Sus scrofa: one gene and its partner. The protein of the gene in region 1 purifies or fractionates together with the protein of each later gene. This does not show direct contact. Links are inferred from orthologs where the notes say so. Each region holds a gene or a part of one and is shown on either strand. Other genes may lie near its edges.

The links.
Region 2: the proteins of MRPL34 (region 1) and RPL19 purify together in Homo sapiens (co-immunoprecipitation; 3 studies listed by BioGRID and IntAct, with this or other methods). This does not show direct contact. The link is inferred for Sus scrofa from reciprocal best matches to the Homo sapiens genes MRPL34 and RPL19.

The regions. Positions count from the first base shown.
Region 1 is NC_010444.4:60,377,211-60,380,532, forward strand, and holds MRPL34 (39S ribosomal protein L34, mitochondrial), read right to left. Parts: upstream 1,758-3,322; 5' UTR 1,603-1,757; coding exon 1,529-1,602; intron 1,346-1,528; coding exon 1,132-1,345; 3' UTR 694-1,131; downstream 1-693.
Region 2 is NC_010454.4:23,031,275-23,035,572, forward strand, and holds the start of RPL19 (60S ribosomal protein L19), read right to left. Parts: upstream 3,064-4,298; 5' UTR 2,921-3,063; coding exon 2,916-2,920; intron 1,978-2,915; coding exon 1,871-1,977; intron 558-1,870; coding exon 435-557; intron 1-434.

The DNA of each region.
Region 1 (3,322 bases):
CCGGAGGTGGGGACCCACCATGACACTCTCAGCCTCCTCCCCAGGGTCCCAATCTTAGGTTTCAGCATATCTAAGCTATTCCACACTAGCTGCTTGAATTATCTTTGAACTGACAACCCAGACTCTTCTTCGAACACTTCCCGTGACTCCTCATTACCCCAAGGGTTCAGTCCCACCTCCTCGGCCCCATATCCTGGGCCCCTCCAGCCAAATTCGTCCACCTTTTATGCTGACCCCTCTCTAGTCCCTCCTTCCTTCGGCCCTCCCACACCCTGCCATCTCTTCCTGGAAGCCTTCCCTGTGTTCTTCCCAATGCCAAGTCGGGTGCTTCCTCATGGCCCCATAGCCCTCACCACCCTCTTACCAGCCCTGACTCCACTATGTCCAAACTGCCTGCGTACGAATCTACCTCCCAACTCCTCACCAGCCTGACAGCCTGGACAGAACAAGGATTTATTGAGGAAGTACTCCTCAGGTTACTAAGGGGAAGTTAGTATTATTACTCCAGCAACAACACAGCAAGGGAGAAACGAGCACCTGATTTTGTAGAAGCCAGATAAGCCTCAGAGAGTTAAGGTCTTGCTCAAAGTCACATAGCCCATCCCCAAGGGGCAGGTGGTTGGGTTCATATCCCTCCCAACTCTCCACAAGCCTTCCTAGAACCGTGGGAATCACGACATTTTACAACACAAGTGAAAATGTGAACATTTATTAGACTTTCAATGACTAAAAGAACTGATAACTTTTTTTCAGCTGTGAAAAGTTTTGTGAATATGTATTAAAGAGCCCTTATCTTGAAGAGGTGCCTTCTGAAATATTTACAGAATAATCTGACGCCTGAGATTTGCATCTCAGGAGGGGGCAGGATGGGTTGTGGGTAATTGGTCACTAGACTGTTGCGTTAAGTTCGAAATTCTTCCTAATTCAAAAGCGTAAAAAAGCACCGGGCAAGGTCTGACTTCCACTCCTTTTTCCAGTATAATACCAGATTTCTTCCCCTGGGCCAATGTGAGGGATATTCATGTCCGTCCGAATCCCAGTCGTCCTGCTCTCCAGCTCTCCACAAAAACAGCCACAGGCTAAGCGAGGGAAATGATTTAATGAGGGGTCCAGGCGGCAGCGTCGCCCTTCTCAATGGCTCAATGATTTTCGGCCCTTGTGCATGCGACGAAGAATGACTTGGACCCCGGTTGGCGTTCTCAAGCGCCGGACCCAACCATGCTTGTGCTTGCGTTTGATGTTACTCGGCTGATACTCGTTCCCGCGCGCCTTGCCCCGGGTCTGCTGCATGGCGGGGAGTCCCCATGTATCCGGGAACCCCAGCCAGGCCTGGGGCTGGAGCCACCTGCCCGGTCAGAGAAAAAGCGAGAAAGGTCAGAAAAGATTGCTGTGTGACTGCTGCGTGGCGCTCAACCTCGAGTTCGCAAGGCATTGGAAGGAAGGTCATGTCGTTGGTAAATAGCTGGGGTCAGCCCCTCGACTCCGCTCTTACTCCCAGATTTGGGAAGGGGACCCACTGAGGACTCACCTGCCACCTACTAGCGCCGCTGACCTACTGACGGGGTCCAAGAGGCGACCCACGGATCTAGCCAAGAAAGCCATGTCCAGCCGCCGGCACTCCGTCCAGTGGCAGCTATTCCGAAACCCGTAGGTTCCGCAGCTGCGAACGAGGACTTCTGGGAGTTGTAGTTTTTCCTACAGCGGAGCCTTCCTTGCCGCGGGGGCCTCCCGGAATTGTAGTTCTACGTCTGCGCGCCCACACCTTAGGCGTGAGCGTCCTTGCACACAGGCGCATGTAATTTTTCAGATGGACCAGCAGGTGGCAGGAGAACGGCGCCTCCTCAGCAGACGCTTGCGTACAGAGCATTAAGTCCCCGGGTCTGCTAGGAGTTGTAGTTTCTTTTCCTGCAGACCCGAGGAGGGTACACTTGGGTGACGGTGGCGCAGCTGGTGGCAGCCTCAGGAGACGGCTGGTTGAATTTCCCACCCCCAGCGGGAGCCAGGCAGATGGCACACAGCTGGCTGGCAGCTTTCCTTTAGCCCCAGCCAAGTCTCTGCCTCTTGGCTGTGAGCCCAGGCGGTCTGAGTTCAAGTTGGCCGTATGTCCTTGGGTGGTTATTCAGTTTCTCAATCTGTAAAACCCAAGGGTTGCAAGCTTGCCCTTGGTCGTACCCCCATTCAGACCTTAGGAGAAAATTTCTAGTATTCATATATGAACCCTTTCCCTTCTCACATACCATCTCTGGCTCCCCATAGTCCCCGGGAAAATATCCAGCTCCACTGCCAGGCATTTGAAGCCCACTCTCCTCTCGACAGACATACACACACATCCTAAATTTCAGCTATACCCTCCTCTGGCTGGTGCTCTCCTATTCATCTTTTAAAAATCCTCCTCAGATACTCCCCTTTCTCCAGACTTGCCCCTCCCTCTGGCTCAACACTGCCCCCCCAACCCCAGTTCTCCCCAGACTCTCCCTGAAGCTGAGGGGGTCCTCAAGAGCCAGACTTGCAGGCACCCCAGCATCCTCCCCGCTTGGAGAGGGGGAGGGGAATTTTTTTTTCTGGATGAATAAACTGTAGTCTCCCAGGAGCACCCTGAGTGGGCAAGAGTGGGTGGCTGGACCTAATCCAACTCTGGCAGCAAATTCCAGGGAATAGGACTGGGCAAGGGATGCTTAACCCCTTGTCCTCTGAAGCCCATCCTACCTGAACCACCATTTTGCAAACCTCTGCAATACTACACCAGTACAATAATAACACCAGTAATGTATGAAGCACTTTCCCTGCTGAGTGTTTTACCTGCATAGCAAATTTATGAGGGGATTAATTTCATAGAGAAATAAGTGGAGTCTCAGGAAAGGGGTTTGCCCAAGGTCACATATCAGCAAAAGGCAGAGGCTGGACCATGGCCTCTCTGACTCCAGCTGGGACCACAGCTCCCAGTTAAATTGGCCACCAGTTGGCCTATCTGTGAAATTCCAATTCCCTATTTACCCAAAGCTCCAAGACATCTGTTTAATGATTTAACGAATAACAATTTGCAGGAGTTGGAATCACAAAGCCGTGGTTCCAAGTCCCATCTCTGCCCCTCATCTTGCCTTGTAAACTTGTGCCCTTTATGCACCTCGGTTTCCCCGACTGAAATTGCAAGGATCTGGAACATTGTATATTGGAAAGGTTATAGCACAGGGAGAGGGGTATGGGGGCTCCGTTTGAAGGGCAGCTTGAAGGCAGAAGCCGGCCAAGGAGATCCTATTTGCAGTGCAGGGGGCTTCGACTGCCGCCTGTCAGGATCTCAGATTGAGACCCCTTCTCGGTTCTG
Region 2 (4,298 bases), on another chromosome or scaffold:
CACAAACGTGGCTTAGATCTGGCATTGCTGTGGCTCTGGCGTACACCAGCGGCTACAGCTGATTCGACCCGTAGCCTGGGAACCTCCATATGCCGTGGGTACGGCCCTTAGGAAAAAAAAAAGTAAAAAGTAAAAAAAAAAAAGGGTGGTGTGTATGACTTTCATCTTCCTCGATCAATCACCCTGAGCCAAGAAAGGGCTTTTAGGATTTATTGGACAACATTTTCCAAGTATCCAGAAGAATCCTTGGCAGATAAAGGTGACCTCTTTCTACCAATACTTTCGACACCAACACCAGTTGTCAACTTTCTGCTTTGCAGACAGAGAAACACCAAGTATCAGAGTAAGAAAACGCTCAAAATGAGTCAGAATGGGAAATCGAGACTTAATCTTCTATCATTCCTGAGTCTAAGTAAAGGGAAGAACGCACTTACCGATGCCCATATGCCTGCCCTTCCGGCGGGCCAGGGTGTTTTTCCGGCATCGAGCCCGGGAATGGACAGTCACAGGCTTCCGGATGATCAGCCCATCTTTGATCAGCTTCCGGATCTGCTGACCTGGGAAACCACAATGTATCTGGTCAGTCACCTGGGGGCTGCCTGGCCTCAAGCACAGCAGTCACAAGCCAGGGCACAAACAAGAGGCCAGAGATACCACTCACATCCCTGGTTTCAAAAGCAGTAGAAATAGGGGAACCTCTGTTTCTTAAAATACATAAGAATTTCATCCATCGAGAGTATTTTATAGCAAACTCTCTCTATATTTGGGGAGGGGTGATTAAAATAGTATACAAATACAGCCTAGTCCTTCAAATCCTGTCTCAGCTGTTAGCTACCAGCCTAAAATAAGGTGAGGAAGTTTTGAACACCCATTACACCACCACAAACCCAAACAGGTTAAAAATTTCTCTGATGGTGACAAAGATTCCTGCTTGACCCAACCTTTGTCAGGTTTCCAAGCCTTCTAGGCCCATCCTTACAGTTCCTTGTAAATTCTCATTTTGGAAAGAACCCCGCTTAAGTTAGTTAACCAGAAACCCCTATCGTGATTTCAGGAAGAATCCTTTTTTTTAGGTCAGTTTAGTCAGAATCCCCCTTACCTGTTTCTTCATAGTAATTTTCCTCCCACTGACCCCTACACTGTGCTCCTTGGCTGTCAATCCCTAGTTGCTCATGCTACCTTCTGATTTGAGCCCAATCTCTCCCCCTCACTGTAAAATCCCACTGCACTGGTCCCCGGAGAACTATTTCAATGGTCCTGAATAAAATCTGCCTTGCCATCATCCCCCCCCCCCAAATATGGCTGCTCCCATGGCATATGGAAGTTCCCGGGCCAGAGACCAAACCTGAGCCGCAGCTGTAACTTATGGCATAGCTGTGGCAATGCGGGTTAAGACCCGCTGTGCTACAGCAGGAACCCTATTTATGGAAGTACTGTGGTATGCTAATGTTATCTGCAGGACTGACACTGTCTAACTACTTTGAGTAATTATGTACAAACATGCCTCTGTTCTGAGGCCCAGGCCTTCCCAATTCATCCCTAACCCCCAGTACTCCAGTTTGCTTCTTCACAAACCCTTCATATAGCTATACAACAGAACATCCATTCTAACCGTATTTACTAATATAACACTGGGTAGTTCCATTAACCTCCATTCTCTCATTCTGGCAAATGGCAGGAAGAGAAGAACCCCTGGCATTTCCTATTTCTTTGATTCCTTCCATTTCCTAAGGATGCCCACCCCCCAATGTCCGACTTATGAGCTCTCCTAAATCTGCACATTCAAGTTAACACAATTGTGCCACCTTTCATCCCTCAAGGGTTGAGCAGGTGATAGGGCAAAGAAAGGTCGCAGAACCCAAGAACTCACGGGAGTTGGCGTTGGCGATTTCATTAGTCTCATTGGGGTCCAACCAGACTTTCTTTTTGCCACAGCGGAGGACACTGGAGGCAAGCCTCTTCTGAAGCCTGAGCATACTGTAACAAACAGAAAACACTATCAGGCCCTGGAAACCATTCCTGGGCAAGGAGCATCCCCAGCAAGACCTGCCCTCCAAAGCCTTCTAATGTGAAATATACCACAGGATATGGATGTATGTGCATTTAGTACTAAGGACAAACATGTCTCTCCCGCCCCAGGCTTTTGCCACCCACAATGGCACCTCCAAATTAAAAATCTCCCCTGTATCCAGATTTTTGTTAATGCCTTGGCAACTACCCATCCCATAATGTAGACAAAGCCCAAGCTATATCTTGACGTATTTGCGCCTCAGTTTTCTCCTCTGGAAAATAAGATGAACGGATGAAATTGAAATTTATAGAGGGAGCTAATACTCTGACATGCACCAGTGAAAATGAATTTATTTAACGCGAAGAATCTGAGGCCAGCGGAGCCGATTCGCTAGTCAGTCTTCTGATTCCTGGGCTCGTTTTTCTCATCTTATCACAGTAATATACTAGCCTTAAGGATTTTCTTATGATGGCTCCACCGAATAAAAGGCATCAAAGAACCAGGGATTGCTTCATCCCGGACAGTCGGAGGCTCGAGACCTACGCGAGGCCCCGTCCTACGTCACATGCAAGCAGACATGGGCTCGGAGCCACAGATTGACCCAGCGAGTAAGGAAGCCATAGCCCGGTTCCCGCCACCGCCTCTCTTCTGCCCGCAGGAGTAGCCTCGGACACGTGTGGGGCGCAGGGCTCGCCCTTCCTCCTGCGTAAGAGTGCCCAGGACGCTCTCCCACCCCCATCCTCTCCAGGCCAAGAGCTAGTGTGCTCCGGCCTACCCTAAGCTCCAAGGCCGGCCGCTTCAGGGCCGTCTCCACCTCAACTCTCCCACCAGGGGCTGAGGTATCGAGCCGTCGAGTGCCCTGGCAGCCGGAATCAACCAAAATCGGAGACCCTGGAGCCCTTACCTCATGGCTGCTGCCGCAGCGGCGAAAGGAAAGAACTTGCTCTCGCCAGGCTCCTCCCATTATCTGTGCAGGGGAGAGCTCATCCCTGGCTCCGCTTTCGCCCGTATTCCCCTCCAGTCTTTTCATCTTCTGCCACCATAAACGTACTTATATCTTCTGTAAAGATCCGGGATACTCGAAGCCTAATATCAGAAATCGGTTTTAAACTTAAAAACATAGAAAATATACCCCTTCGGCATGGCAAAGTGGTATAGTCCGACTTCCTATTAGGCATGCGTGGCAAGGGTGTCTGGTCACGTGGATGGCGGAAGCCGGAAGTCAGCTGGGTTGCGCAGGCGGGTTGAGGGAATTTTGCTAGAGTGGCCCGTTTCTCGCAGTCGCGTTGGGTTCTTTGGGTGTTTTATTGGCGCGGGGCGGGTGTGGAAGGTGAAGCAAGAGGGAATAATGAGGGCGGATTTCAGACAAAAGCAGCCCTGTATTCACTCTCTTAATTATTGGGAGACCCTGGAGGTCAGAATAAACCACCAAAGATACTAGCTGATGTTTTTGCACCCCTATGGTCCTTGATCTCTTAGTGCCTCAGTTTCCTTCTCCGTATAGTGTACGTGATATATCCGTTGTTCAGTTGTGAAAATCGCATGAGTTAACGTTTGCAGCTTGCGAAGGCAGGCATTAAGACCAGCTCCTCTTTAAAAATAAATAAGTAAAAAGGCATGCTCCTTATGACAGGAACCAGTCTTTTGTTTGGCTCATACTGTATGCCGGCAGCCATGGAGCTTTGCACATAGTAAGCACTTGAGAAATAAGGAGCGAATGAATAGCTGTGAAAGTCTTAAACCTGGTTGCTAGAACCTCTCATAGTTCTTTCCTCTTGCTCTGGAGTTCCCAATGCAAAAACCTAAGGAAGTGCAACTAGAGATTATCGTACTAAGTCAGAAAGACAAAAACCTTATAATATCACTCATATGTGGAATCTAAAATATGGCACAAATGGGAGATCCCCATTGTGGCTCAGTATCCATGGGGACGCTGGTTAGATCCCTGGCCTCACTCAGTGGGTTAGGGATACAGTGTTGCCGAGAGCTGTGGTGTAGGTCCCAGTCCGCGCTCAGATCTGGTGTTGCTGTAGCTGTGATGTAGACTGGTGGCAGCTGCAGCTCAGATTCCACCGGAGCCTGGGAATCTCCACATGCCACAGGTAGAGACCATAAAAAAAGCAAAATAAATAAATAAAATATAGTGCAAATGAATCTATCTACAAAACAGAGACTCACAGAAAACAGACTTGTGGTTGCCACGGGGCGGGGGGTGGGGGGAATGGACTAGGAGTTTGGAATTAGTAGATGCAAACCATGGCATTTAGAATGGATAAACAAGGCGTTT